Tamandua tetradactyla: one gene and its partners. The protein of the gene in region 1 interacts with the protein of each later gene in a pairwise test. Links are inferred from orthologs where the notes say so. Each region holds a gene or a part of one and is shown on either strand. Other genes may lie near its edges. The genes, in order: TRIM63, TNNI2, USP13 and MYBPC3.

Evidence for each region.
Region 2: the proteins of TRIM63 (region 1) and TNNI2 interact in a two-hybrid assay, tested with the Homo sapiens proteins (2 studies listed by BioGRID and IntAct). The link is inferred for Tamandua tetradactyla from reciprocal best matches to the Homo sapiens genes TRIM63 and TNNI2.
Region 3: the proteins of TRIM63 (region 1) and USP13 interact in a two-hybrid assay, tested with the Homo sapiens proteins (2 studies listed by BioGRID and IntAct). The link is inferred for Tamandua tetradactyla from reciprocal best matches to the Homo sapiens genes TRIM63 and USP13.
Region 4: the proteins of TRIM63 (region 1) and MYBPC3 interact in a two-hybrid assay, tested with the Homo sapiens proteins (2 studies listed by BioGRID and IntAct). The link is inferred for Tamandua tetradactyla from reciprocal best matches to the Homo sapiens genes TRIM63 and MYBPC3.

Annotation. Positions count from the first base shown.
Region 1 is NC_135328.1:200,139,004-200,146,013, forward strand, and holds the start of TRIM63 (E3 ubiquitin-protein ligase TRIM63), read left to right. Parts: upstream 1-4,008; 5' UTR 4,009-4,147; coding exon 4,148-4,306; intron 4,307-5,189; coding exon 5,190-5,362; intron 5,363-7,010. UniProt on the Homo sapiens protein: E3 ubiquitin ligase. Mediates the ubiquitination and subsequent proteasomal degradation of CKM, GMEB1 and HIBADH.
Region 2 is NC_135335.1:1,875,156-1,882,596, forward strand, and holds TNNI2 (troponin I, fast skeletal muscle), read left to right. Parts: upstream 1-4,734; 5' UTR 4,735-4,866; intron 4,867-4,946; 5' UTR 4,947-4,952; coding exon 4,953-5,075; intron 5,076-5,229; coding exon 5,230-5,319; intron 5,320-5,395; coding exon 5,396-5,572; intron 5,573-6,730; coding exon 6,731-6,826; 3' UTR 6,827-6,933; downstream 6,934-7,441. Other genes in the region: SYT8 (synaptotagmin-8), read left to right, coding at 69-162, 256-416, 844-942, 1,033-1,200, 1,276-1,443, 1,540-1,645, 1,739-1,872, 1,941-2,174. UniProt on the Homo sapiens protein: Troponin I is the inhibitory subunit of troponin, the thin filament regulatory complex which confers calcium-sensitivity to striated muscle actomyosin ATPase activity.
Region 3 is NC_135331.1:78,118,559-78,126,359, forward strand, and holds the start of USP13 (ubiquitin carboxyl-terminal hydrolase 13), read left to right. Parts: upstream 1-4,793; 5' UTR 4,794-4,842; coding exon 4,843-5,001; intron 5,002-7,801. UniProt on the Homo sapiens protein: Deubiquitinase that mediates deubiquitination of target proteins such as BECN1, MITF, SKP2 and USP10 and is involved in various processes such as autophagy, endoplasmic reticulum-associated degradation (ERAD), cell cycle progression or DNA damage response.
Region 4 is NC_135334.1:124,087,199-124,095,052, forward strand, and holds the start of MYBPC3 (myosin-binding protein C, cardiac-type), read right to left. Parts: upstream 3,001-7,854; 5' UTR 2,889-3,000; coding exon 2,864-2,888; intron 1,945-2,863; coding exon 1,678-1,944; intron 872-1,677; coding exon 770-871; intron 696-769; coding exon 588-695; intron 484-587; coding exon 335-483; intron 1-334. Other genes in the region: SPI1 (transcription factor PU.1), read right to left, coding at 5,540-5,856, 6,135-6,297, 7,018-7,205. UniProt on the Homo sapiens protein: Thick filament-associated protein located in the crossbridge region of vertebrate striated muscle a bands. In vitro it binds MHC, F-actin and native thin filaments, and modifies the activity of actin-activated myosin ATPase.

The DNA of each region.
Region 1 (7,010 bases):
CTGTAAAATGGGGATAATAGGCATGCCCTACTCACGATGATTTTGAGGACTGGAAGAAATAATTCCAGGGAGCCCTCGATAGATGTCCAGTCACTTGCAAGTGCTAAATTAATAAAAAATAGTACTATCGTGATGATTTCCTTCCATGTCTCCCTTTTGCTTGCCAGGCCCAGACCATTCTCCCTCATACTTTGCCTGCCTCCCACCCAGTCTGGCCCCTGAGGGCACTACACCTTCCCCCACTAGCAGCACAGACTTTGGAGACAGTCCCAAATGAGATGCCTGTTATTTAGCTGGGGAACCTTCCAGAAGTTACTTAACCTCTCTGAATCTCAGTTCTGGATATGTAAAAATGAGAATCATAATGCCCCCAAATCACTCTGTGATTAATCAGTGGCGCAGAAGGAAGGAAGGGACCAATGAGACAAAAACAACAAATTGCCACGTGTAAGATCTTATCATTCTAATAAATGGTAATGATACTGACTCAGCTTTTGACTGGCTAGGAGCCCTTGACCAAGAGTCTCATCCCTTTGAGATTCTGTAACTCAGCTGAAAAACAGGGGAAATCATGGTCTCTGTCTCACTCAGTTATTTTGAGGATTGAGTGAGATGATGAATGCAAAGGGCTTAGCACAATGCCTGGCATGCAGTAAGCACTCAATAAATGTTTCAATGGGAGGAGCACAGGTTTAGGAGTCAGGCTACCTTGGATGTGAACCCTTTCTCAGCTCTGCCACTTGGGGCTGGGTGACCAGCCAAGCCAATGAACTCTCTGAACTTCATTTCCTCATGGGAAAATGGAGATCATAATACCTCCCCTACAGGACTGTTGTGAAGATTAAATGACAAGTCATGGCCTATGTGGGAATTTCCCTTCTCACCCCTTGACTTTCAGCACTGCTGGGCTTGCCAACCCCCAGGCTGGAGTTGAGCCCACTGTCCATTTGCTCAGCTTCTGTGTCTGGACTGCCAAGTGTGGGTGGGAAGTCAACAGAACCGTGCGAATGACTCCTCACAAATGACAAATCTGTGTTGGAAACATCAGCAAGGCTCTTCTGCTCCCAGACTTTCCTTCCACTGGTTTCTAGGGCACTTCCTCTTGTGTTTCCCACTGACCAGCCCAAACCTTTTCCGTCACCCTCTCATGCTGACATTCCTTCTGCGTCAGCATCAAGGAGTTGACCTCAACTCTCTTTTGACCAAGGTCATCATATAAAAGCACCTTTCTCTCCATTTCTCAACACCTCTGATTCTCTCCTCCACCGTTTCCTAGCTCCTTCCCAAGACTCTAGGATGTACTCCCTCAGCTCTCCTTCCCACTTTCCAGTGCTCTCTCTCTCCTCTGGCTCTACTATCTCCACCAAAAACCTTGTTCAAGTACTTAATTTCCCCCAAGCCTGACAGTGACCTTGCAATCCCTTTATTTAATTCATTCGTTCACTCATTCACTTGTTCATTCATTTAAGAATTATTTATTGAGAGCTGGGCCTTAAGGATACAAAGATGAACAAAGACAGTCTTTGCCTTCAAAATCTTCAAAGACGGGAGGGAGTGTCACACTTACAAACAGGTGATGGCAATATGACCAAGGAGACACAAAGATGGATCCCTGCCTGACCCATATTACTAGGTGTGCAATGGGGGGAAGGGGGAGCCCTAAGATCACTCCCAACTTCCTGGTTTGTGTAAATGGGTCGATGACAGCACAGCAAGACAGGAAAAACCGAAGGAGAAGCTAGGTGTGGGGGAAGATGATATGTTCTGTTTGGGATAGGGTGAATTTGAAGTGATCTTGAGACCCCATAGAGATCCTCAACATCTGCCGCTTTGAGGTGAGAGTAGTCCGGACTGGAATTAGAGATCTGAGAATCGCTGGCATTTTAGGAATTGGAAAGATAAATGCATATAGTATGCTTTTGGCTGCAGGCAACAGAATAATCACACTACAATGATGTGTTATTTCACATCGTTAACACCTTCAGAGTTGTATAAATGGGCAACACAACGGAAGGCACCTGTGACCCAGGTGCTTTCTTTAGCTCCTCTCTTCCATCCTCAGAGTGTTGATTTCTTTTTCCTTCAGGCTTGTCTCATCATGGTTGCAAGATAGCTGCTCCATCCTCTCACCACCCCATTCAAAGGCAAGAGGGAAGTTTTCTCCTTACACATTAATTTGTATCAAATCTTTTCCTTTATTCCCCCTCCCCCAGCAGACTTGACCTTGAGTCTCATTAGCATAGCTACCTGTATACCCTTAGGCAGAGGGGAATGGGATTACCATGTTAGGCATGAATCTTTCATGATTTGTCTCATATGGCAGTGGAGAGGCACGGTGCTGCCTGTGCGTGAACGGAACTTTCGTGAGCAAGGAAGAAGGGATGGTCTCTTCCCACCCTCATCATCCTTTGTCCCCCCGCTGGCCTGGCAGTGCTGAACCACAGTTCAGTGAAGACATGAGGCGCTTGAGCTCCTGTTCCCAATATATCCAGGTTCATGTCTTAAATCCACCTTCTGCTGGCCTTGTGACCTCATTCAAGTTACTGTACCTTTCTGTGCCCAAGTTTCTTCACCTGTGGAATAGGGTTTATAATGGTTCTTTGCGCTGTTGCCATTGAGATCTTAGAATGAAATAATACTCAGCAAAGTGCCTGACACATAGGAAGTGCTTGGCAATAACTAGCCATTAACGTTTTACGGGGACTACCCTTTCCTTAAAATTTTCTTGCTTTCTTTTAGGTCTCTTCTTCTTCCGACTGGGTTTTCTTCTTCTTCCTCTTTTCCTATCTTCTCTTTCTCTTTCCTGCCTCCTCCTCCTCCTCCTTGTCCCTCTCGTTTCTCCCTTTCTCAAGGTTGGTTCCTCTGCCCTCACCACTCTCTAGGTCTTATCTCCTGGTTCCAATCACCAAATCCTCTGGAGGCTGAGGTGAGTGAATCAACTCTGCTGAATCTCTCTCTTGAGACCCTGGACACACCCCCTGTAAGTTCCTCGACCTCTTAGGCTCTCATCTTGATACTCCACCCACACTCCCACCCCAGGATGGCTCCAGCATTGCTTTTCTCGAGGCGCTTCCCTAAAAAGAGACATTGGAACTGCTCAAATGACTTCTACCTGCCAACATGAAAGGTGTCCAGAAGGACAGGGAGAAAAATTAAAATTTGTGCAGAGAATAGAGGGGAGCATCTGAATCACTTCTAAATATCTAGGCAGGGACTTTGTGGCTAGCTCTCTTCCTAGGCTGTGAGCCTCACAGGTCAGGCAAAAGAATTACTCATCTGTCACCTTTACTAGTTAGCACCTGAGTAAGTGCTCAGACAAGTGTTTGCATGGATAAGGTTCTTCACTGCCACTTACTCTCTAAGTAACATTGAACAAGGCCCTTTCCATCCCTGGAGCCTAGTTTCACAATCTGAAAAATGAGAGGACTGAACTGCACCTTGAGGAAGCCCTTGTAGCATTAAAGCAGATTTGGCGGCCAAGGGATGGGGGGACTGGGAGAGTCATCAAAGTCTCCAGTAAAATGCGATGCTCAGGTCGAAGGCAGAGGGATGGGCTCAGAAAGAGGGCTTGCCCTGACCCTCATCTTGGGAGCTGCCCAAGACTCTAGAGGAGGGTCTGGACCTGATGTGTATCAGAAGGTCACTCTCCTGTCCTTGGGGGGGGGGGGCCATCGGCCATTAACCCCTCAAATCCCAGTGGCCCACTGGATGGGTCCCATCCCTAGTCACCATCCCGGAGTTGGGGGTGGGGCGACCAATTCCTGGATGAGACACTGGGTCCCCAGTCCTCCCGGAAGCCAGCCCCTGAACAGGCTGTTCTTGTTTACGACCCCCATCCCAGGGGACAAAGATTGCTCATCCCCACACGTGATATGAGAAGGCGAGCTTCTCAGGCCTGGAGGAAATTCAAGCCCCGCCAGCAGCCTGGCATGGGGATGCTCAGCTGGTCTTCTCCCGGGGCTCATGTGACTGGGGCCCAGCTATAAATATCAGAGGGGCTCGGACCAAGGCAGAACACGGGCGCCGGAGGAAGGAGGCAGAGGGGCTCCGGGTGGGTGTTTTGTGACAAAGGCCAGGGCTCCAGGTCTGCCTGGGGTGAGGTGCGGGTGAAGGAGGCAGCCAAGTGGGCTCCCACATCACCGACGACATGGATTATAAGTCAAACCTGATCCAGGATGGGAACCCGATGGAGAACTTGGAGAAGCAGCTGATCTGTCCCATCTGCCTGGAGATGTTTACCAAGCCGGTGGTCATCTTGCCGTGTCAGCACAACCTGTGCCGGAAATGTGCCAATGACATCTTCCAGGTCAGTGCCGGCCGCTCGGCTTCTTTGTGATAAAACACTTTCTCCCTTCGACCAGGACCGAGGCTGGTTCCTGCCTCTCGAAAATGAGTCTTCTGGCTCTTTCTTCCCCAAAATGAGGCCCCCCCGCCATGTCGGCCTGGGTGGGGCGGGGTGGGGAGGCAGCTCTTGCTGCCCGGGTCCTTCTCCGGGACGTCTGCTTCTCCTCCCCACCTCTGCCCTGAGCGTGGCAATTGACTCTCCACTCAAGAGTCAAATGCCTCAAGTGATAAGTCGGGGAGGCAGGCAGAGAAGAGAGAGAAAACAGACCCCTGGGGCTGGAGCCAGGCCTGCGGTGGCAGGGGGCCCAGAGCCTTGGGAGGAGGGGCGTGAGGGGGCACTGGGCACTAGAGCATCTTCTCTTTTGAGGCTGTTCCTTATAATATGAAGGTGGGGGAGGCCGGGGGGGGCGCTCTGTTTCCCTAAAGAAGGAATGGAAGTAGACGTCCTGCTTGGGGGGCAGGATTCTGGGTTCCCCAGGAGCACTTTGCAAAATGCCCTCTCACCGTTTTATCTTCAAAGTAGAAGCCATAGGGGCTTGTTCTACTGATTATGCCCATTTCATGAATGGTCCAACTGAGGCTTAGAGAGATAAGGTTGCTTGGCCAAAAATTACTCAGAGAATAGATGAGGCTTGAACCCAGTTCTGTGGATTCCCAAAGCCAATGCTTACCTATTGATTGCTCAGCTGCTTCTTAGATGATCCGTCTGTAAGATGGGCTGGTTCTCATCTCAGGGTGGGTTTGGCAGGGATGACTGGGGTGGGCGAAGGGGGAGGGGAACAGGAGATGAGTTAGGGAAGGGGCTGGGAAGGCGCCCAGGCCCACCTCCACCTTGCCATCTGCAGGCCGCAAATCCCTACTGGACTGGCCGGGGCAGCTCAGTGTCCATGTCCGGAGGCCGGTTCCGCTGTCCCTCCTGCCGCCACGAGGTGGTCATGGACCGCCACGGAGTCTACGGTCTGCAGAGGAATCTGCTCGTGGAGAACATCATCGACATCTACAAGCAGGAGTGTTCCAGGTCAGCTCTCCGGGCTACTGGGATCCCGCCCTCCTTTCCCAGCCATGCCGGGCACAGCTCGCCCAGGCTCCTTCCTCCTCCATCAGCTGGGACCTAAGCCAGTCCAAAGGGCCATTTCCCTCAGGCTGAAGGACAGAGGCCCATGCCCCAGCTCAGTGATGGGGAGGGGTCAGGCTGCCTTGCAGGAGAGACTGAGAGAGAAACCAGGGGAAAGATGAGAGGTGACAAGGAATGACAGGCATTGGGACCTGCAAAATAACCCAAATAAGCAGAGAAAAAGTGTCCGGTGAGAAGGCAGCCAGATTCTCCCTCCTGATAGCAGCAGCCACCCTTGGATGCCCTCACTGGGCACCAGGCATGCCACACCTTGGGGCCTCACCACAGTTTTATGCACCAGGCGCAGCGTTCATTATTCCCATTGCACAGATGAGGAAGCTGAGGCTCAGAGAGTTGAAGTCATCTCCCCAAGGTCATGCTTCCAATTCATGGCTAGGCATTGGAAGAGCTAGGAGTGGGCCTGGGCCATAGAGCGCTGAGTCTCCCTGTTTATAAAACAACAGCCCAGTCTCAGGCACAATTTGTCCGTGAACAGAGGAGGACGTGTGGTGTTAGGCTTCAAGCTGGAGCGATCTTTACAAATCAGGACATCCTGACGAGTTTCCAGGTTGCTGACCTGCTGCCATTATGGTCTAAAACCTTTACTGAGCACCTGCCTGAGGGCAGGACCTTCCCCGATGGAGGGGGACAAAGCAGGCCCAGTGAGGAAAGGCCCTGGCCTGGGCACTGTGTTTGTAGGCTGACTTGAAACTAACACACTGTAGGATCTCGGGTAAGTCACTGGCTTTTAGGGCTTTGTTTCTCTTTGTCTGCAGAAGGGGACAATAAGACCTACTATTGTGATTATCAAATAGGAAAACAATAGGAAAGGTAAAAAATATATATATATCAAATATTTATTATTTGATTTATAAATAAAATTATTTACTAAGCACCTACTCGGTGTGGGCACCATACTTTATGTACATGGCATTCTTACCTCTATTTTATGATGAGGAGATGGAGGCTCAGAGAGGTGCAGAGGTTTTTCAAGGTCACATAGCTAGTAAGGGTTTAAGTTGAGAGAAAGCCTGGATTGATTGACTCCTAGCCCTCTGCTAGATGGGCTCTCATGGTGATAGAGCATGACCCTAAAAATATAAGCAGACTGTTGATAAAACCACTATCATGCCAAAATACTACTTAGTGGCTAACTATGAAGGACACACTGTTCTTGACCCCTTCAAGACCTTCCTGCACAGTTATATGACAGTGAGAGCTGCCGTCCATTGAGGGTCTGCTCTGTGCCAGGCATGACCCATTCGTTATAAACAACTCCTGCCATGATCCCAATAGAGAGGTGAAATCACTGGTCTGAGACAGATAAGCGGCAGAACACTCTGGATTTGAACCCAGATGCTGAAGCCTGGGCATCTGGGATGGTGGTGGGCACAAGGCACCACATGCACAGGACCTGTGCCTCCTCTCAGCCATCCCAGTGCTCCCTTCCCCAGGGACAGAAACAGATGGCAAAGGGAGATCCTTCTCAGCATGGGAGACCTGGGCTCAAGATGCAGAAAGACAAGGTATGCAAAGGGGCTTATTGAAGAAC
Region 2 (7,441 bases), on another chromosome or scaffold:
CTGAGGGGGCAGCCACATAGGTGACCCCGGCTCTTGGGCTGACTCCTCCAGGCCAGGAGGGCAGGAAGATGGCACCCCCACCCGATTCCCCCGGCACCCTGCCCCCAGCTCACACCACAGCTTTGCCCGGGTCCGTTCCAGCCCTCGTCCCCTGGATCCCCTGTGAGTCCTGGGACCCCAGAGGGGCAGGGGATGGCCGGGCGTAGGGGGGTGACCGTCTGTGGGGGCAGCTCAGGCCCTCTCTGCACTCCCCAGGGCCCTCCTGGGTGCTCGCTGCCATTGCTGGGGCTGCCGGCGTCCTCATCGTCTCCTGCCTCCTCTGTGTCATCTGTCGCTGCTGCCGCCCCAGGACAAAGTCCAGAGACAAGGAGACTGTGAGCCTGGGCAGTGCCAGGGGTGCCACCACTGCCCACGCGGTGAGGAGCGCTGTGTGCCCGGCCGGTGCCAGCCAGCTGCCTGGTTGGCAGGGCTCAGGCTGGGGGCGGGTCAGCGGGCAGAAGTAGGTGCGCCAAGGGGAGGGGAGAACCGGGAAGGCGGCTGGGGCAGAGCCCGAGGGCCCTGGGCACTGGAACCGGGAGCTGGTCTGTGGGCCATGGGGAGCCATGGCAGGTTCTTGAGGGAGGTAGTGGTGCAACCGGAGCCCTGTTTGGGGCAGATCCATCCGTTCTGGCTGGTCTCCCGGAGCTGAGGTGCGGCAGTGAGCCCTGATGGTGCCCTGTGGTGGTGTGTGGGGGGGTGCCTCGAACCGCACGGGGGAGCTGCTACCTTGGAGTCTGGGACTGGACAGGGGCAGTGTCTCAGCAGACTCGGTTGCCCCTGCTCCTGCCCCGCTCCCCAACCCAGGTGCAGCCAGATGTGGATGGCCTAGAGCCCGGCCTGGGGGGCCTCCAGCAGTGGGGGCGCCTGCAGCTGTCCCTGGAGTACCAGCCTGCGAGCCAGGAGGTGAGGGCCCACTCTGCCACACTGCTGGCGGTTGGGGAGGGCGGGCTGGGGCAGGGGGCACCTCCGCTGAGACCCCCCCGTTTCTCCCAGGTCAGGGTGGGCCTGAAGCAGGCGACTGGCCTGCAGGCCCCAGGCTCCGGCCACACGGCTGACCCCTACGCTCGCGTCAGCCTGTGCCCCCCGGCTGGCCCCAGCCACGAGACGCGTGTGCACCGAGGCACGCTCAGCCCGGTGTTCGAAGAGACCTGCAGCTTCCAGGTGGGGCGCGGCCGGCGGGGGCAGCGGCCAGGCCCGGGCAGGGAACCCCGCTGACCCCCCGCACCGGCCCCGCAGGTCCCTCCGACCGCGCTGCCCCGGACCGTGCTGCTGGTGCAGCTCCTGGCCTCCCGGCGCTTCTCCGCGCACACGCCGCTGGCCGAGCTGCGCCTGCCCCTGGCCTCGGTGGACCTGCGGCACGTCCTGGAGCGCTGGCACGAGCTGGGCCCACCGGGCACCGTCGAGGTGAGGCCACGGGGGCCCGGGGGAGGCAGAGCAGGCAGGGGGCCCGGGCCGCGCGGTGGAGCCCCCCGCGCTGAGACCCCCTCGTGCCCCTGGCAGCCGGAGCCGAGCGGCGAGCTGTGCTTCTCGCTGAGGTACGTGCCCAGCGCGGGCCGGCTGACCGTGCTGGTGCTGGAGGCCCGCGGCCTGGGCCCGGGGCTGGCAGGTGAGGCCCGTGCAGCCCGTGGGGTGGGCAGAGGCCCCAGCACCCTGCGCCAGCTTCTGACCCAGTGCCCCCCGCCCCTCCGTGCCCGCCCAGCGCCCTATGTGAAGGTCCAGCTGCTGCTGAACCAGAGGCCCTGGAAGAAGCGGAGAACGTCCGCCAGGAGGGCCACGGCCGCCCCCTACTTCAATGAGGCCTTTGCCTTCCGCGTGCCCGTCGCCCAGCTCCAGGTGGGCCCCGGGGAGGCGGGCGGGCGGGGGCCACGGCCCGGGCCGAGCTGATGGCCGCCTCCTCACAGGGCGTGGACTTGGTGCTGGCCGTGTGCGCCCGTGGCCCGCAGCTCCGGACCGAGCCCGTGGGGAAAGTGCTGCTGGGTGCCCGTGCCTCCGGCCAGCCCCTGCAACACTGGGCCGACATGCTGGCCCACGCCCGGCGCCCCAGCACCCAGTGGCACCGCCTGCGGCCCCCCAGCGAGGTAGACCGGGTCCTCGGCCTGAGGCCCCGCGGGCGCCTCCCCTTGCCCCGCTCCTGAGAGCACCCAAGCCTCAGTTTCCCCTGCCAGGCCTGGCGGACCTGGTCGAATAAACGCCATCTCCGGCTGCCTCCACTGCCTGTCCTTCCTGAGCCCTGGGGGACAATACAGAATTGAGGAGGGGGCTCCCTGCAAGAACAGCCCCCTCCCAAGGGCAGGGAGGTTCTCCCTTCCAGGCTGAGTCTGCCCTGGGGCTTCTATCTCAGGCCTGACCCTGGGGTGGGGGCCGCAAAGTCCCCAGACCCTTCTCTGCCCCTTCCGGGCATGTCTGCAGGGTCTGGAGAGGCAGGCACGGCCCTGGGAGGGGGTGGGATGCCGCGAAGACGCGGGGACAAGGGGGCGGCGGCGGCGGTGGGGGGTGGTGGCGGAGGGAGGGCCCCCCCACCCAGGCGCCTGGGCCCCGCGCAGGCAGCAGGGGGCAGTAGAGGCCTTCGGAAGCGGCGCGGGGGCCCGGGGGCCGAGGCCTCCTAATCCCGCACATCTGGAAGCTTTAGGGTTTGCAGAGCCTCCTGCGCCCGCCGCCTCGGATCCTGCCTACGCCCCAGAAGCCCCGAGCCGGCAGGGCGGGCCGCGCCGCAGCGCGCAGACGGTGCCAAGTCACGCAGGCGGGGGGCGGTGGCGCGGGCCCCGGGGTCAGGGAGAGGTTCCCCGTGCTCCCAGGCTCGGAGGACGTGTCCCGAGCCGCCCAGGTGTGGGGCCGAGGCTGGGCGTACCGAGCACGGCTGGGGAGGGGGCTCAGCAGGCATGTCTGGGGGCCTGGCCCCTGCTCCCAGGGCGGGCAGGTGATATCAGCCCCCCGCCGGGGCCCCAGGCCCGAGGCCGCGTTTGGGGGTCCAGCCTGGGAGCTGGGCTTGGAGAAGGGGTCGCCGGCCAGCTGTGCTGCGGGGCTCGGTGGGCTGTGGTGGAACATAACCCATTGAGGGCCCAGGCTTTGGGGGGCGGGCCCCCCAGGACAACACGCCACCGGGAGTCCCCTGCCATGGGCCGGACAGAGGCCATGGGGCAAAGTGTGATCGGGACCCCGAGTGAGGGTGGACAGGGCTGACTTGGGGCGAGGCTGTGCGGCCCCACGTGTGTCCAGCCTCGGCGAGGTGGCCAGCAAAGCCACGTGCGCCGTGTCCCCAGGCTCCTTGGAGAACAGCGAAGGCTCCTCGGACTCGTCACTGGGCCCTAAATAGCTCTGCTCGCCTCGGCTCCCCCCACCAAGACTTCTTGGATGGGGTGGCAGCACGTGGCCAGCCCGCGGCCCGGGCAGCTGGGGGGCCGCGCGCCGGCTCTCTCTGTCCCCATTGGCCTGGGGCAGCTACATGCCCTTTCCGAGCGGGGGCCTGGCTGGGGGGAGGCCATTTATACCCTCCCCGGCCCCCCAGCCCACTCGCCACCGCCAGACCTTGCTCCCAGCTCTGCAGCACAGGCTCTCGGTGAGGCCCTGCCCGGCCGGTCAGGCCAGGCCGCGGGCGGCACTCAGGCGGGCCTGCAGGAGGACGCCCTGGGTGGGGGCCTGGGGGCCGCGGCCAGCAGCCCCTCAGGGGGCTCCCACAGAGTGGGACGCAGGGGGAAGAGACACCTGGGGATGCTGGCGGGGCGGGGCAGGGGTCCGGGCAGCCCCTGGTGGTCTGATCTCACTTCTGGGGACACTGGTTTTGAGGGTCGAGGGACCCCAAGAGCTGGGCCCCCAAGCTGAATCGGGGAGCAAGTTTCTTGTACTTCGGCCGGTAGCCAAGGAAGCGGGGTTAAAAATATCTGTTGCTCGGCGGCCACCTGTGCTGGCCCCCCCCCCGGGTGCCCCCGCCACACCCCCCTCGGAGACAGCTGCAGCTCCTCCAGGCCCTGCCCTGGGCATCTCGGGAGCACTTTCTCCTCTTACCCCCCACCCCGGGGAATTCCAAGACATCCCCCTCTGCAGAGGGAGCGAGGAGGGGGAGCACGGGGTGGGAAGGGGGGCAGCGGCACCCCCTCACTGCTGGCCTGGCGGCTGTACCCTTGTGGCCTGACACCCCTGCCTTTCTCTCCACACAGGATCTGAGCTCACGATCTCAGGATGGGGGAGTAAGTGGGGTGCCCAGCGCGATGCCCGGGGGTGGGGTCTCTGCATCTCCCCAGCAGCTACCCCTGCCCACCCCACCCTCTCCCAGCCCACCCTCTCCTGCTCCCCACCGGCCTGGCCTGACCCGATCTTTCCCTTCTCTCCTCTCCTTCTCTTACCCCGACCTCGCCGGACAGTGAGGAGGTGAGTACCTGGTTGGAGAAGGGGAGTGAGAGGTGGGGGGGCGCTGGGACCCCAACTCCGTGGAGGTCAGAGGTCAGAGCTTCAAGTCTTTGATGCACAGAGACGAAGCCAGCCTCCCCCCACCGGCCCTGACGGGACAGAGGAAGTGGCAGCCTGGGCCTTCCTGGGCAGGGAAAGTGGGGGCTGTGGCCCGGCTTCTCAGAAGGAATCGCACCCCCCCAGGCCCTGCAAGGGTCACCCCTCCCCTGTGCCTCACCTGCCTTTCCCACCCCCACCCCCCAAGTTCTTAGGACCTGGCTGTCCGTCCTAGACGGGGTCAGCAGGCCAGGCCTGTGCCCTGGAGGTCCTGGCTGGTCCTCCAGCTCAGCCGGCCCCCCATGGAGCCCCTGACCCTGCTTCCCGCCCCCTGACCCCCCACAGAAACGCAACAGGGCCATCACGGCCAGGAGGCAGCACCTGAAGGTAAGAGTGGGCTTGGGGAGGGGGCCGGGGCCTGCGGGAGGGACTGCAGCCCTCACGGCGCCCCCCACCCCACCCCGCAGAGCGTCATGCTGCAGATCGCCGCCACGGAGCTGGAGAAGGAGGAGGGCCGCCGGGAGACCGAGAAGCAGAACTACCTGGCCGAGCACTGCCCCTCCCTGCACATCCCCGGCTCCATGTCCGAAGTGCAGGTACCCCGCCCCGCGCCCAGCCCCGCGCCGCCACCACCTTCCGGCCCACTGCCTCGGTTTCCCCACCTGCCAAGGGGCAGCGCCAAGCAGGTGGCCAGAGGCTGGGGCCGGTCAGGGCCAGGGTCAGGGCCCACCCCCTGGTCTCCCACCCCAGGAGCTCTGCAAACAGCTGCACGCCAAGATCGACGCCGCCGAGGAGGAGAAGTACGACATGGAGATGAGGGTCCAAAAGAGCACCAAGGAGGTGAGGCGCGGGCAGGGGCAGGGGCGGGGGCGGGGGGTCACGGGGCGCTGGACTCAGCTCCCCCCGCCCCCCGCAGCTGGAGGACATGAACCAGAAGCTGTTTGACCTGCGCGGCAAGTTCAAGAGGCCCCCACTGCGGCGCGTGCGCATGTCGGCCGACGCCATGCTCAAGGCCCTGCTGGGTTCAAAGCACAAGGTGTGCATGGACCTGCGGGCTAACCTGAAGCAGGTCAAGAAGGAGGACACCGAGAAGGTGCGTCCGCCGGCGCCGCCGGGGCCCAGGCCTCTCACCTGGGGCTGACCCCTCTCACCTGGGGCTGACCCCCTCCCACCTGGAGCTGACCCCCTCTCACCTGGGGCTGACCCCTCCCACCTGGGGCTGACCCCTCTCACCTGGGGCTGACCCCTCTCACCTGGGGCTGACCTCCTCTCACCTGGGGCTGACCCCTCCCACTTGGGGCTGACCCCCTCTCACCTGGGACTGATCCCCTCTCACCTGGGGCTGACCTCCTCTCACCTGGGGCTGACCCCCTCTCACCTGGGGCTGACCTCCTCTCACCTGGGGCTGACCCCTTCCCACCTGGGGCTGACCCCCTCTCACCTGGGGCTGACTCCTCTCACCTGGGGCTGATCCTTCCACCTGGGGCTGACCCCCTCTCACCTGGAGCTGACCCCCTCTCACCTGGGACTGACCCCCTCTCACCTGGGACTGACCCCCTCTCACCTGGGGCTGACCTCCTCTCACCTGGGGCTGACCCCTTCCCACCTGGGGCTGACCCCCTCTCACCTGGAGCTGACCCCCTCTCACCTGGGACTGACCCCCTCTCACCTGGGACTGACCCCCTCTCACCTGGGGCTGACCTCCTCTCACCTGGGGCTGACCCCTTCCCACCTGGGGCTGACCCCCTCTCACCTGGGGCTGACTCCTCTCACCTGGGGCTGATCCTTCCACCTGGGGCTGACCCCCTCTCACCTGGAGCTGACCCCCTCTCACCTGGGGCTGACCCCTCTCACCTGGGACTGACCCCTCTCACCTGGGGCTGACCCCTCTCACCTGGGGCTGACCCCCTCTCACCTGGGACTGACGTCCTCTCACCTGGGGCTGATCCCCCCCCACCTGGGACTGACCCCTCTCACCTGGGGCTGACCTCCTCTCACCTGGGGCTGACCCCTCTCACCTGGGGCTGATCCTTCCACCTGGGACTGACCCCTCTCACCTGGGACTGACCCCTCTCACCTGGGACTGACCTCCTCTCACCTGGGGCTGATCCCCCCCACCTGGGACTGATCCCCCCCACCTGGGGCTGACCCCGTCTCACCTGGACCTCACTCCTCCCTCTCACCCTGCCTGGCCCCTGCTGGCTGAGCCCCCCGTGGGGTGGGGTCCTGAGTCGCCCCCCGTCGCCCCCAGGAGCGGGACCTGCGTGACGTGGGCGACTGGAGGAAGAACATCGAGGAGAAGTCGGGCATGGAGGGCAGGAAGAAGATGTTCGAGACAGAGTCCTAGGCCCCCTGTCTCCACCCCGCTCCCCGGGCACACGGCGGGCAGGGGCCTGCGGCGCCCACGGAGTGGCAGGGGTATCACCCCAAAAGTCAATAAAGGATGCGAACCCATGGCTGGTCCCTCGCTGCCCACAGTCCCCGCCTGCCCTCAGGGCACCCTTGCCGGCCCTGACTCCTCAGCCTGGCGCCCTGGGTGTCAGGCCTGGGCAGGCGTCAGACGCTGATCTGAGCACGGGGCAGTGCCACGCCAGGGAGGCCCCCCCATGTGGGCTGGGACTGGACAAGCCGCCGGGTCCAGGGGCGCCCAGGAAGACCCTGCAGGTGGAGCCTGCCCCTGGCTGCACCGAGCTGCAGGGGGACCCCTTCAGGCCGTGTCCACCGTGTCCTCGGCAAGGTAGCCATGGGAGGGGCTGGTGGCGTGTACCCGGCGGGCTTCCCCAGGTGAGCCCTTTGTCCATTTGCCCTGTCCATTGCCACAGGGCACAGCCCCAGGAGGCCCCAGCTGGGCGGGAGATGGCCACACGCTCCCACGATACAGGGTCCCCAGCCCCCTGCCCCCAGGCTGCTCCCCCGGGATGCAGTCAGAGGCCGGCAGCCACGTCAATGCCCCCAGCTGGAG
Region 3 (7,801 bases), on another chromosome or scaffold:
TCTTTTTGCCATGCTATGAATATGTATATATGTGCATTTGTGCTTAAATGGAATAATAGTATATATATGCTCATTTACAGTCTGCTTTTGAAGTTTGTATTATAGTGATCATTTTTCCATGTCAATGCATATTCTTATACCACATGATTTTAAAAGGCTTTATAGAACTCTTTCAAACAGGAAATGCCATACATTTCTTAACCAATGCCTTATTGTTTTACATGCGGAGGCTATCTGCCCTTATACAGAATTTTATGGATCTGCCTCCACAATAAGCTATTACCATATATGACTTTACCAGATCACTGCACATTATTGGAAGAAATCTGAGCTCGAGTTTTCCCATTATTCAAATTCCCCTTCATGGCTTTAGTCATATTCATGTCATATTTTAATTTAACCTCCATCAGTTCTTGGAATAATATTTGTGCAGCAATGAATTTTACCTAAAAAACACAAAGTAGGTTGCAAAATATATCTATTACAAGATCACTGATGCGAGTCCTTCATTTGGTACTTATTTAGCGTTGAAAATAAACAGAGCACAGCCACTCCAGGCAGGCAATATTCCTAAACACTGAGCATCCCCCAATGTACAAGGTTTCATGAGTCACATCAAGAAATGTAACTTCTTCCAGAGTTTGCTTTCCAGATAGAGGGATCAGACATGGAACCAAGACTAATTAAATATAGTACAAAAGATGTCACGAGGCAGTATCCCAAAACTGGTGTAGGCAAGAGGGGCTGCAATTTTTAACAATAGGTCACTGAGGGTTGGAGCAGTCAGAAGAGGGTTAATGGAAAAAATACTGTTTTAGTTTGCTAAATGCTGCTGGAATGCAATATACCAGAAATAGAACAGCTTTTAAAAACGGAATTGATTAAGTTGCAAGCTTACAGTTCTAAGGCCATAGAAATGTCCAAATTAAGGCATCCAGAGAAAGATACCTTGAGTCAAGAAAGGCCACATGTCACAGGGGAAGGCACGTGGCTGGCATCTGCATTCTTTCCTGGCTTCTGGTTTCAAAATGATCACTCAGCCCCTATAGATCCTTCTGGCTTCTGGTTTGCTTAGCATATCATGGGAAGGCACATGGTGATGTCTGCTGGGCTCTGCATCTCCACACATCTGTGCCAAGGTGTCTGCTCTCTCTGTTGGCACTCCAAGCATCTCCAAATTGTCCTTGTCTCTCTTGACTCTGAGCTCTTTCCAAAATGGTTCCCTCTTAAAGGACTTCAATAAGCAACCCCACCTTGAATGGGTGGAGATGTATTGCCATGCAAACCACCTAATCTAAAAGTCCCACCCCCAACTGGGTGGGTCACATCTCTGTGAAACAGCCTAATCAATGTGTCCCACCCTAAATAATGTTGAGTCAGGATGAAAGAACATGGTTCTGGGGTATACCACAGTTTCAAGTACATAAATACTAAGCTTTGAAAGGCCTTTATCAGGAGACAAATATATCTATTCTTAGGGGACAGTAAATCAAGCTTACCAGAAGTGTAGGGATAGAGGGTAAGGTCTGAAGGACAGCTGAGTACTAGACTGGAAAGGTGCTCGAGTGCACGGGCTCCTGTCTGCACACTAGGGGAGGAGGCTTTGGCCAGTAAAGCATGTGGTGGCCTGGACATCTCAACCTGGCAAAAATGCAGTTCTTAGTCTTAGGCTCTCTGAAATCTCTTTAAACTTATGTTGGAAGTTAAAATTGTTCACTGATCCTTACTTCACTTTTGCTCATTGATCAAGATCCACATTAGAAACCGTTCCAGTAGTAAAATATCTGGTTATAAATCATATGTGCAACTTAAAAAATTAAGTAAAAATATTCAGTAGTTGGAATGGGATTTTTTTCTCTAAACATGTCATGATTAAGACTTAATCTCTTAATTCTGTGATATTTCTTTTACTAACTTTTTTGTCTTGATACATTTTTTTTGCATGGGCAGGCACCGAGAATCGAACCCAGGTCTCCGGCATGGCAGGCGAGAACTCTGCCTCTGAGCCATGGTTGCTCGCCCTTGATACATTTTTATATTATAAAACAAATGTAACATTATTGAAGACATTGGAATATAGAAAAAAAATCCTATAACCAAATTCTAAATCTAACTATTAAATATGTACATGTCTTTTCAGACTTCTCAACATGTGTGTTTACCTTTACCCAGTTGCTATGCTATTGTGCAAGTTTCTTTTTAAACTAACATACTACAAATATATGAAAATGGTAATTTTAATAAGGATATTTTCTAAGATTTGTAGAAACATCTTTGAGTAGACGGGGTCCATTTTTCCCTAGAATTTTCCAACTGTTGTGCAATTGGAGTTCTGCTGCACAGAGATGGGATTCAGCTGTGATGAGACTCCAGTCCCCTGCCTGGCCTGCAGTGACTGACACTCGCACACGAATAGCCTCCAGCTTCAAGAAGTATCCTCCCGAGAGCTGCACAAATATCACCATTTTCCATGCTTGCCATTATAAGCACTTTAATAATGATGCTACAATTGTCTTCAGCTTCTATTAATATTACTAGGTATTGAACTTGGATTATTTTTACAATTGAGTTTTAATCATTTTTCAAAGCGATACTTGTGCATGATAAAAATGTAAACAGTACAGGAAAGGAGAGTGGTAGTAAGTCCCCCTCTAACCTTGGCCTTCCTATTCCTTTCCACAGAGGCTGACTGCACTAGTTTCTTGTGTATCCTTCCTGGCCAAACAGCATGGTTCGTGCACACACACACACACACACACACACACACACACACACACATCGGGGGCCAATGTTTATAATTTTAATTTAATTTAATTAAATATTAAATTAAATTTAATTCACTTATTGTACAATTGAAAGAAAGGTCCCTGGTATAGAAGATGTACCAGAGGCTCTTCTGCATATCCCCAGCCTGGCACGTATCTTGCTTTTACACACTGATTTGCACTTCTCTTTTCTCACCTAATAATGTAACCAGAGATTCTGCATATCAGTGCATTCAGAGTGCCTTCATCCTGTTCAATGGTACTGTATTTTACCCATGTCTTACAGGTAGCTCTTTACATTGTTCCCATTCTTTCATTACTATGAACAAATACCAACAGATACCCCTACACAGTGTGAGTTTACCTGTGGAATAAATGTCCCGATGAGGAACTGCGGGGAAAATAGTATATGCACATACAGTATGATTGGTCTTGTTAAATTTCCTACCAAAGAGATTTACCATTTTCACTCCTTCCATCGATGTATTTGAGGATGGATACATTTCCCAACTTGGTGTATCTTTATCAGCCTGAAGGATGAAAAATGTGTCTCATTGGTTTAATTTACATTTAATCTCAAAGTATTTTAAACTTCAAGTTTTGAATGTTTTGAATCAAGTTTTCTTCTGTAATTGAATAAGCACTCTTCATCCATGAACTTGCAGCAGGTGCTGATACTATTAGAAGGTAATATGCTGGTGAGAATAAATTCAAAATAAAAGCTGGTTCAGAGTATCTGCGCAAAGATGGGATAATACTAGTGCAACAGGGAGCAAGGCAAGAGAAAGCTGGCCTGTCTATGTACTATTAAACTCCAGGTAACTCTTTCTTCCTAGGAAACCCACAGATCTGGAGAGTCAGGAAGAGTAAAAGAAAAATGATGTAAAGGAAAGAGGAATTTAAGGACTAGCTGATCTGGGACAGGCTTATAGAAATCAGTGTTTTGGTGTACTTTATTTCTTGCTATTTCTGAATTTTGTTCACTGGTAGAGTAATAGTATTCCGCTTTGTATGTAAGTTGAGTGTAGTTACAGAATAGAACCCATAGTTTAAAGTCTTTTTTTTTTTTTTTTTAAAGAAAATGAGAGCATGCTGTGTGGTATGTTCTGTTCACAAATATCTAACCTCCCAGTCCAAACCCATTCATTATTTATTTTGGGAAACGGAAAGAGCAAGGCAGTTCTATATGTACTGTTCTGCATAGGACTCCAGATCTGGCCATTAAAGTTCTAAACCCGGACCTTGAAACGCGCGTAAGACGTTCCAAAGGTAGAGAAAATTTTAGTTAAAAACTTCTCTCGCCCTGCAAAAAACCACTCCCCCCAAAATGCAAGAAAAACGTCTATTAATGCAAAATATGCCTCTATTCTCATCAGATCTTATTCTATTCTCTTTTATTGAGCTTCGGATTTTTTTTTAAGTGAAGAACAATGCTTGGCGAGGCAAAACCGAGGTGCACCAGGCAGATGTGGATTTGGGCTGCTACGTTAGACTCTGGATCGTCACAGCGAATTCCATCCCTACCCAGGCCCACCAAGACCCGGCTCCTATTTTCGGCCGTTTAGAAAATCAGCCTTTTCAAAGACCCCCAGATGCCGCTCCTTGTGGAGGCTGCCTCGGAGGTATTCCCGGTCACCCTGAGGTTTATGACAGAGAAGACCGCGATCGGCCCTGAGATGTTGGGGGGCGCAGCCCCCCGGTCTCCTTTCCGGGGCTCCCTCCAGCTTCCTCCTCCGTGCCAAGGCTCTGGGTACGCCCTCCACCCCCCACCAGACCCCTAGTCCCCATCCGTCCCTCTCTGTCCCCCACAGCCTAGCGGAGACCCTCTCAGGCCCCCGCGCACCCTCCCCGGTGCGCTGCGGCCGGCGCCCCCCCACCCCGCGCCCCGCCCGATGCCGCAGCGGGGCCGGCGCTCCGCCATTGGAGTAAAAATAGCAGCGTCCCCCCCACTCCCCGCCCCAGGCCCGGGTACCCGCTCCCGCCCATCGCCGCCCTCCCCGCCCGGCTCCGCTCCGGCCGCCCGCCCGGGCCCGGCCGCTCCACGGCGCGGGCAGACCCAGCTCGGCTCGGCGCAAGCATGCAGCGGCGGGGTGCCCTGCTCGGCATCCCGGGCGGCAGGAAGATGGCTGCGGGGGACCTGGGCGAGCTGCTGGTGCCCCATATGCCCACGATTCGCGTGCCCAGGTCCGGGGACCGGGTCTACAAGAACGAGTGTGCCTTCTCCTACGACTCCCCGGTACGTGGAAGGATCACGGGGCCCGGGGCAGTGGTGCTGGAGGCGGCGGCAGCAGGGCGCGGGGCGGCCGGGGACCTTCGCCTCCGCGCGCTGGCCGGGCTAGGGCCCCGCGGCTCGGCCAGTACCGAGCGGGCGCCTCCTCTGGCCCGGGCCGCGTCCCCGCCGCAGTTCGCCCGCCCAGTGAGGTTGGCTGCGTGAGAGATTCCCGCTGCTGGGGACGCGCCCTCAGGCGAGGATTGGGGGTGGTGGATGCAGAGACTGACCCCCACCCCGGACATAGCCTGCCCTGAGTCTGGGACGGGGCGCTTGGCCCAAGGTTCCCCACTCCGGGACGGGTCTGAGGTACCCCGGGAGCGGGGGCTGCCTCCACTACCCGCTTCCCCTCCACACCTCCTTTCCAGCAGAATTGCGGGGTCGAATGGGTCATTAAGGCCTTTCCCTCACCCCTTAAAAAGGAGGCCGCTGGAACTGATATGCACAAATATCAATGATTAAAAGTTCAATCCCAAGTCGTGACCTCAGAGACTGGAGGGAAGTGAGGCTCGATCACCGCCCGCTACCCAGGGCGCTTGGCGGTGGGTTTAGCTGCGTGTGTGCGCGCGCGCGTGCGTGCGCGTGTGAGTGTGATGAGACCTAGGGTGAATGCTCCTTTCACAAGTCAAAATGGGCTTCCAAGTGACTCAGCTGTCTGGCGTTTCTCATGTCTTTTTGAGGACCGGGTTATTTTTATCCACACACTTTAGATCTCATGTGTCGCCCAGCAGATCCCAGAGCGTTTGGAGGTGCATTGATTGCGACGACTGAGACTTCACGATAGTTCAACACATTTATTCATATTATGTATTTCCCCCTCATTGGAGGGGGAAAAAAAAAGTAAAAGCAAAAACAAATGAGTGACACATTTTCCAAAGCATTCTTTATTATCTTGTGAGTTGGTGCTGGTTGGTTTCCAAGCAATTTTCTTTGGTATATTGGAACCCCAGAATTAGTATCCTTTCTGTGATGTTTAGCTTTTCTTTTATGTGAATCCCAGATCATTTGGTGATAAAATCTCACCTTTTGTTAATTATTTTTTTCTTTCAAAGAGATCCATGTAGAATGAAGTGAAATGGTTGTATTTAATGCCTTGTGTATTTAATATATAGTGGTGGTACTAATAAGACAACTGTCAGCAGTGCCTTTAAATCGTGTTATCAACAAAGTATATGAAAGTGACACTTTGAGATTTTGTTTCCAGTGTTGGGTGTCTTCCCACCAGCAACTCCTAAGGGTGAAGAGGGATAATGGTCCCACCTAACTTAAACAATTGACCAATTGTGAACTTCAGGAAGAAGAAAGTGGACTGAGTGTTCAGGAGAGCACAGTGTGTAAAATTAGCAAAACTACTTTCTCTACATTTGGTTTGGTTGGCTTTTCAAGTTCTGCTTACAAACTTTCTTTTTGGGAATCTTTACCACATAGTGTGTGGCAGGTGTGAGAGAACGCTAATTTAAAAAATTCATTTCCACTAATAGTTATTGGTGCTTACCATGTGTCAAACACTATTTTGGAATCATCTTGTCTCATATAAAATATTTTCCCTCATATCACAATAGTTCCTTGGAGGTGACTGGATTTATTTACAAAGCCAGTGCATCAGTATATTTCATTATTTATGTTTTAAGGGAGGAAGAGAGGGAAGGTTTTATAACAAGTTTGCTTAAAGCACAGTGCGTGATAATGCAAGGTCTTTCCTTGTGGTACTTAACACTTTGTCAGGAATCTAGTAGGGTGTCTTGAGCCCCTGCTTTGTGCCAGTTTGTACCTGCGTTGTTATAAGAACCTCACAGAGCAAAATCCATTGGTGCAAAACATGCCAGAAACTTTATTCCACAAGTGCTATGGGACTGTGGAACTTTGGTTGAGAAAAGATCGAGACTAGTTGAGTGAAAAATCCCCCAACTTTCTTGCAGTGGATGTTTTTGAAGATCATAGATAGTGATGGCTAGAAATAAAGGAGCCCAACCTTCCAGGCAGGGAAAACTTACACGTGCAAATGCATAAAATGTGAATGTTTTCTTGTTATTTGCCTGTAATGTATTTGAAAGAAAAAAGATTGATTTGGCAAGAAACAAGAAGTGGAGAGTAGATGATGGGGTGTCTTGCATACCTGGAAAAGGATCTTAATTTTATGTATCAGTTATTGAAAGCTAGTGTGGGTAGTAGGTTTAAGGTGGTATGGAGGTAGACTGTGTATCACTGATTTTTTGCAATGTACCTACTGTGTCTAAGGCACCATGTTCACATTTTTGCCATTTTTCACCTTTGTGGGCTTTGAATATTGAGCCGACAGTGTGATAACTCTTTTCAGTATTCCCCTCCTTCCTCTGTTTCCACCTTCTAGGGATTAGCATGTTGGTGCTCAATAGCAGTTATTTTGAGATGAGTGAGTAATATTTTAGTTTCCTCGGCTGTTTGAGTAAATCCCGTGCAGTGGGCTGGCTTAAGCAATGAGAATTTAATGGCTGCTGATTTTGAGGGAAGGAAAAAAGTCCAAGTGAAGGTGTCATCAAGGTGATGCTTTCTTCTCCAAGACTGGCACTCTGGGGCCAGCTGCCAGTGGTCCTGGGCGCTGGGCTCCCTGTCACGTGGCAGTGCCCGTGGTGGCCTCTCGTGGCCTGTCCCTTCTCTTCCAGACTCCGCTGTCAGTATCTTGATTTTCATGGTTTTTCTCTCTCTTTCTGTCTGAATTTCATTCTGCTTATAAAGGACTCCAGTAATAGGAGTAAGATCCACCCAGATTGAGGTGGGGCACATTTTA
Region 4 (7,854 bases), on another chromosome or scaffold:
AGGAGGTTTCTCCCCACCCCCCACCCAACCTCTGCACGCTGCGCACAGGAGAAAGGGGGTCCCACTCGGGGGCCAGCAGGGCGGGCGGTCAGGGGCCCGGGCTCCAGGCCGCACCCCCGTGGGCTCCCGCCTCTCGCTTACCTCGTGCCTGTGGTGACGGACGTTCTGCTGGATCCCTGAGGGCCCCTTGAGCCCTGCCCCCCACCCCCCAGGGCTGTGTTCTGGGCTCTCCACACCGTCCTGTCCCCCCGCCATCCCCTGCACCCCTGCCCCCAGCCACCCCCCTGTCCTGCAGCCCGTGCCCCTCCCCAGGCCACCCCTGTGCCAGGCCCACCTTGCTGGCGCGGTCATAGCTGTCGCGTAGCTGCAGGTGCTGGCCCACCTTGCTGCTCAGGTCCACCCACTTGCCCTTGAACCACTTGACCACAGGTGGTTTCAGGAGGCTGGCCCCAGCCACGCGGGCTGAGAAGGTGATGCTGCCGCCTGCGGGGAGGGGGCCCAGCTGCCGTGGGGGGCCCGGCGGGCATGGGGGCGTCTGGCTGCCTCCCTCCCCGCCACACCCTTGGGTGCAGCTGCCCAGCACTCACCCGCGGTCACCTCACCATCCTGAGGCCGCATCACAAACAGGCCAATGGGGTCATCGGGGGTGCTGGGGCATCCAGGGGCAGGGCTCTCGGGGGCAGCCGAACTTGACCCTGTGAGCAGAGGCCTCTGGGACCTGCCCTGGGACATCCTGCAGCCGGTCCTGCCCTCCCTGCAGCCCCCTCACCTTCAGGCCTTGCAGAGCTTCCTTCCGGCTCAGCAGCCGGGGCCAATGCCCCCCCCGGGGCTCCCGGGGCCTCAGTAGCAGCTGGGGCGATCTCTGCCGTCTCTGGAGGGGAGCAAGTGGGGAGCAGCTCCTAGCCAGAGACCACCCCACACCCTTCGGCCCTGCCCCAGTCTCTGCAGGCTCCTCCAGAGTAGACAGGGCTTCATCTGTCCCTCCCCTTTCCTCCTTCCCCTCCATGACACTTCTCACCCCTTGCTAGCTCCCTCCCCTCCTCTCTCCTCCCGTCCTCTCCTCCTCCTCCCCTCCTCCTCCCCCTTTTCCTCCTCCCCTCCTCCCCTCCTCCTCCCCCTTTTCCTCCTCCCCTCCTCCCCTCCTCCTCCCCCTTTTCCTCCTCCCCTCCTCCCCTCCTCCTCCCCCTCTCCTATCCTCCCCTCCTCCCGAGCACCAGGCCAGGCCTCTCCTGCAGATGATGTCCCATGCTGGGCTCCTGTCCCTGCTGCGTCATCTGGGGGGGGGGGGCGGGGAGCTGCCGGCCCCTGGCTTCCCTTGCCGTTGTCTACCCTCACCCACTGCAGGTCTGCCCTGAGCAGCTCCGGGGTCCGTCTGTCCCTTCCTTCCCTCATGAGGCTGCAGCCTCATCCAGCTCCCTAGCTGGAAGCTCCACCACAGGCTACCAGGGGCTTCCCTGCTGGCCTGAGGCCGGTTCCCATGGGGCCCCCAGAGGCGGCTTGTGCCCTTGTGCCTGGTCCTCCCTGCAGTGGGTCCTCCCCCGGGGGCATGCCCAAGCCAGGAGCCCTGGGGTGCTCAGAGCGGCTGGGCCACAGAGAACAGGGGCCCGCACCCTGCAGGGGGGAGGTGGCACTGCCCTTGTGCCGGGAGGTCGACCTCAGGGACGGGTCTGCCCTTACCCGCCTCTGTGACCTTGAGGTCAAACTTGACCTTGGAGGAGCCGGCGATGACCGTGTAAGGGCCCTGGTCGGCGGGACCCACGTCCCGCACTGCCAGCGTGTGCTTCGTGCCCTCGGTGGCCAGGCTGTACTTGTCGCCCGTGCTGATGTCACTGCCTGCCCGCTGCCAGCGCACTTTCAGGCCCGCCCGCTCTGTCTCGGCCTCGAACACGGCAGTGCCGCCCGCAGCCACCTCCGCTGACTGGGGCTTCTTGCTGAAGGCCGAGGCTGAGGCCCAGACGGGGCTGAGGGACGCCCGGACCCCCCCCCCCCCCCACCGGCCCCCACCAAGCCTGGGGAGAGGCCCTGGGCACGCGTCCCCCCATTTAATGCTCCTTCAGCTCCAGGAGGGGGGCAGCGCTTAGGTCCCTTTCCCAGATGAGGACATGAGGCTCAGAGGGGTTAAGGGGCTTGCCCAAGGTTACACAGCCAGTAGGCGGGAGAGCTGGGGGTGTGGTCTGGACCCCCCACAGGCCAGTCTGGGTCCCCAGGCAGGGGCAGGTGCTCAGGCTGCTTGGAGTATGGCTAAATTTATCCTCCAAGGGCCTGGGGCTGAGAGTCAGCAACTGAGATAAAAAGTTGGCCTGGGGTGGGGAGGGGTGGGACACAGGGTGCCTGCCCCAGTGCCCTTGGTGGGGGCACAGGCCGGGACCAGGACCTGGGAGGTTGGGGGCCCTGTTCTACCCTCAGCCGGGGGCTCCTGGGGCCCCATGACCATCAGCCCAGAGTGGGGGCCATGCCCAGTGTGGAGGTCACAGGGCTGCAGAGGGAACTGCTTAGCTGGAAGGAGGCTTGCGGGCCTCCGCCCATCCCCTCCTTGTCCAGATGGGAAAACTGAGACCCAGAGAAGGGGGGAACCCTCCCGCCCGCAGCAGCCTTTCCCACCAGGCCAGGCCTCCCTCCTGAAAAAGGTCCCAGATGGGGGAGGGCACCCTGGGACTCAACTCCCCTCTCTGTGCTCCAGCCCTGGGTCCAGCCTCACCGTCCCCTGAAGCAGGAAGGGACCTGAGCCTCAGGAAGGGGCCCGAGGCCTGTCGAGTGTTGCATTCCCCACCTCCTCGGGAGCCAGCTCCTAGCCCTGCCCCCCAAATGCAGACACCCCACCCTCCCTGCACCCCACTCGAGCCCAACCCCGGCCTGGAGCTACCTGGCTTCTTCCCTGGTTCCGGCATCTTGGGAGCGACCACAGCAGGCACCGAACAGTCCCAGGCTGTTCGCAGAGGGATGGCGGGCAGCCCCCGCTATATAACGGCCCCGTCACACTCCCTCCCCCGGTCTCCTTATCAGCCTCCGAGCAGCCTCCCGCTAAATATAGACAAATTCCAGGGAGCCCAGGTCTCTCTCGGGGTGGAGAGGGCAGTGGGAGGGTCTGGGCCATTGTTCCTTTCCTCTTCCCCTCCCCCAACACAAATAGGACAGCTTCTGTACCCCAATCCTCAGTGCCCTCAGGGGTACCCAAGCCCAGTCTGTGTGACTATCTGACAGGCAAATTGAAGGTGGAAAGTGGGCTGGACCTTAACCCTGAGGCCGGCAGGTGGCTGTGTGACTTGCCAGGCAGTGAGGGGCCGGGTGGGACAGTGGGGGGCCAGGTGGGACAGTGGGGGGACCGGGCGGGACAGTGGGGTCTGGGTGGGGCAGTGGCAGGGGTGGGGGGAGGGGGTCTGGATGGGGCAGTACCAGACCAGATGGGGCAATGTGGGGCCGGGTGGGGTAGTGGGGGGGCAGTTGGGGGCTGGATGGGGCAGTGGGGGCCAGTGGGGGACCGGGTGGGACCGGGCGGGGCCGCACTGGGCTTTGTGGGGCAGTGGGTTGGGTTGCCCATGGCTGGCACGTGCCCTGAGGTGGGCAGCCCCCGAGCCTGGCTCTGCAGTCCCCAGCCTGATGCCCGTCTGCTTCACCTGTAAAGCGGGGCTGGATTGCCAGCCGGTGTGGGCAGCTCCTCCGGTTGGGAGATTGGAGATGAAGGTGCCCGCAAGGCACTGGGCTGGAGAGGGGGCAACACTGCAGGCGGGTGAGGCCGGGGCGACTCTCTGAGTTGAGCTGAGCCCCTGGGTGTCCCCAATCTGTGGTCCACCCTCCAACGGGGCCCCCAACCCTACTCCACGCGGAGAGAGGCGTGTCCCACGTGACTCATCCAAGCGAGACCGGGGACCAGAGAGCAGCCCCCGCGTGGGGGCGGGTACGTGAGGTGTGGGGGTGCTGCAGGTGGCCGGGCTGCTCCTGCCCGTGGGCAGCCACCTTCGGCCCCCCGCGTTGGGGGCCTGCCCTGACTTGGGGGCTGAGCAGAGCGGCCCTCTAGGGGCCCGGGGCCGGGGGGCCCTGTCGCTGCCGGGCCTGCCCGTTGTGGCCTGTGACCCCCTGGTGGGGGCGCTGGGTGGGGCGCGGGGAGCTGCCACCCGCGCCCTGGGGGGCCTGTTGGGCGCTGCAGCTGGGATGGGCCCCCCCGAGGCTGTGTGGGGGGGGAAAAGTCGGGAAAGCCCAGGCGGCCGGAGACATGCGCCGGCCAGGTCGGGGGGCTTTGCGACCCCCAGCGGCGGGAGGAGCCCCGGGGGCGGAAGGGACGGGCCGCCGAGCGCCATGTTGTCCACGCGGCCGGGGAGGCCCCGCCGCCGCCTTCCTGGGCGTCCCCGCGGCTGCGAGCTGAGCGGGAGCCGGAGCCGGAGCCGCCCCACGGCCGCCAACCCGGCGCCTCCTGTCCGGGGCCCGGGGTTCCAGCATGGCCGCCCGCTGGCAGCGTGATCTTGGCCGAAGCATCTGATCTCTGCCTGCCTCCGTTTCTCCCACTGCGCGGTGCGGCCTCATCAGCATCCGCCTCACACCATGGAAAGTGCAGCGACGCTGCGGCCATCGTCACCCGGGTGACGGGCTCCAGCCCCCGAGGGCTGCTAACCACGACTCATACAGTAGGGAGCGAGGGCTCCTGCTTCCCAGTAGGCACGCCCGGGCCTGGGTTCCGCCCCACGCCGGGCCCCAGGGGGCCCCCTATCCCCCAGGCCTGGACCCCCGGGCCCCAGTGGGCCCCCTATCCCCCAGGCCTGGTCCCCCCGGGCCCCAGGGGGCCCCCTCCCCCCAGGCCTGGACCCCCGGGCCCCAGGGGGCCCCCTCCCCCCAGGCCTGGTCCCCCAGGGCCCCAGTGGGCCCCCTCCCCCCAGGCCTGGACCCCCCGGGCCCCAGTGAGCCCCCTATCCCCCAGGCCTGGACCCCCGGGCCCCAGGGGGCCCCCTCCCCCCAGGCCTGGACCCCCGGGCCCCAGGGGGCCCCCTCCCCCCAGGCCTGGTCCCCCAGGGCCCCAGTGGGCCCCCTCCCCCCAGGCCTGGACCCCCCGGGCCCCAGTGAGCCCCCTATCCACCAGGCCTGGACCCCCGGGCCCCAGGGGGCCCCCTCCCCCCAGGCCTGGACCCCCCGGGCCCCAGTGAGCCCCCTATCCCCCAGGCCTGGACCCCCGGGCCCCAGTGGGCCCCCTCCCCCGAGGCCTGGTCCCCCACCTCCCCCCCCCCCCCCCCCACCCCGGGCCCGGCGGCGCACAGGACGCTGAGGCGGGCGAGGCGGCGGCGGGCTTTATAACAACGCTGCGCGGGGCTGGCTGAGAGTCCCGGCGGTCACTCGCGAGCCCTGCGGGGGCAGGTGGGCAGCCCGGGGGGGCTTCGAAGGGACCATTCGGTGTCCACGGGGCCGAGGCGGGGCCGCCCGATCCCGCGCCCGGGGCTGGTCCCGGCGGGCGGGGCGGGCGGGGCGGGGCCGGGGGGCTGCCGGGGCCCGCGCCCCTCCCCGTGTCCGGCGGGCGAGGGGTTAATGCTGTGGCCGGGGCGGCGGGCGGCCGCGCTCAGTGCGGGGGATGGCGGCGCTCGGCCAGGCCGCGGCCCAGCACCTCGCCGCTGAACTGGTAGGTGAGCTTCTTCTTGACCTTCTTCACCTCCCCGGTCTTGCCGTAGTTGCGCAGCGCGCGCGCCATCTTCTGGTACGTCATCTTCTTGCGGTTGCCCTTCTGCACGCCCCAGCGGTTGGCCAGCTCCTCCTTGTGCTTGGACGAGAACTGGAAGGTGCCCTTGTCCTTGTCCACCCACCAGATGCTGTCCTTCATGTCGCCGCTGCGCAGCAGGTCCAGCAGGAACTGGTACAGGCGAATCTTCTTCTTGCTGCCTGCGGGGAGCAGCGCGGGCGGGCTGGGGGGCCGGGCCCGGGACCCTCCGCCCCTCCCCCCTGCCGGCCCCCTGGGGTAGGACGGGGCGCGCCCCCCCCCGCGGGTTCAGCCCACACACACAGCACAGACGCGCATGCATGCTCACACACACACACTCGCGCGCGCACACACGGCCCATGAGGACACGCTGGGAACTTGTGGGGACCCCTTGGCACATATCACATGCCGCCTCCCCTCCACCCCCCAGGCACCGTGCCCCTCGGCCTGCTGGACCTACCTGTCTCCCCGTGCAGGAGGCCAGGCCCTGGCTCCAGGCCATCAGCCTCCCCGTCGGATACCTCCAGTGGGGGGCTCTGCCGCTCACCCTCCTCCTCATCGGAGCTGGGCTGGGCCGGCGAAAGGGAGGGGTATGGGAGGCACATCCGGGGCAGGTAGGAGACCTGGGCAAGTGAGGGCAAGTGGGCTGAGGTCGGTAAGGGGCAGTTCAGAGATCAGGGCTGTGGGCAGCACTGAGGCTGGGTGGTCAGCAGAGGGCAGAAAGACTAAGGGGAGGCAGGGAAAGCTGGACGTCGCTCAGGTCAGCAGAGGCGACCAGGCCCCCCATGCACAGGGGTGCAGACTGTGCACTGCACAAGGGCGTGCAGGTCCTCGGCACTCACCAAGCTGAGCTTCCTGCTGAGTGGATGAGCGGGTTCCAGGGGCTGGGAGCAGGAGGGCTCAGGGGCCAGTGGGTTGGGTTAGGACTGGACAGACTTTAGTAAGTGGCGGGAAGAGTGAGTGAAGGACGCAGTGAGGTCAGCGAAGGCTTGTAGGGGTCAGTAGAGGTTACTGATGGGGACAGAGTCCATGGGGCCAAGTAGGGTCATCAAAGGGGTCAGTGTGGAAAGTAAAGGGTGAGGAGAGCCCAGCACTCAGCACCCTGGACACCACACCCTTGGGGGCGCCCATCGATGGAGGCTGCTGGCTGGGAGGGGCAGAGCCATGGGGACTGCCTGGAGCCTGGCCACCCGTGGGCCGAGAGCTGATGAGGGGTGTGGGATCGCCAGGCCGGCCGGAGGGTCCCAAGGCCGCTGGGGGGGGGGGGGGGGCAAGAAGCAGTGTGGGGCACGAGCGCGCCGGCTCCTGTGTGCCCTTGGCCTGGGCGGGGCAGAGCTGCGCACCTGGTGGCTGAGAGTGGCATGGGGCGGGGCCATGGGCGCGTCCAGCACGTGCATCTGCTCCAGCTCCATGTGGCGGTAGAGCTGCTGCAGCTGGGGGGGCTGCACGCTCTGCAGCTCCGTGAAGTGGTTCTCGGGGAAGCTCTCGAACTCGCTGTGCACATGGTGGGGGTGGAAGTCCCAGTAATGGTCTGCGGGGGGCAGCAGGGGGCGCAGTGAGGCCGGGGCGGGGGTGGGGGTGGGGGTGGAGGCAGCGATAATGAGACACAGTGCCACGCGGGGCCCTCACGGGGCCAGGCCGGGCGACGCGCCTGCCTGCCGACCTCACTCAGCGTACACCCCATCTTGGGAAGTGGGCGCCCCGCTTCATAGATGACCTGAGGCCTGGGGAGGCCGCAGAACGTGCCCAAGGGGCCCAGGTCCGAGGCCTATTGCCCACATGGCTGCAGGGGCGCAGACTCGGGCCCCCCGCTGGCCTGCTGGGGTGGCTGACCCTCCTAGGACATGGGGCTAGCGGTTACTGGAGGATGTGCATGAACTCGCGCCTGTGGAAACTTCCAGCAGGGACCCGGCCACTGCCTGCCCTCGCCTGGTGCTGCCCACCATCCCGAGCTGCTTGCCGTCCACAGGCGCAGGGGCGTGTGGCCTCCTCCCGTGGCTGGGGTGGGCCATGGCGGTGCCCGGGCGCCAGCGAGGTCCCTGGGATGTGAGTCCTTCCTGGAAATTCCCCTGCAGCGGTGCTTCCGGCCTGTGGCGGAGTGGCTTAGGGCTGGAGCCACATGCCATGTCCTCTCGTGATGAGGGCAGGGCCTGAACGTGGGTTTCTGGGCACCTTTTCCA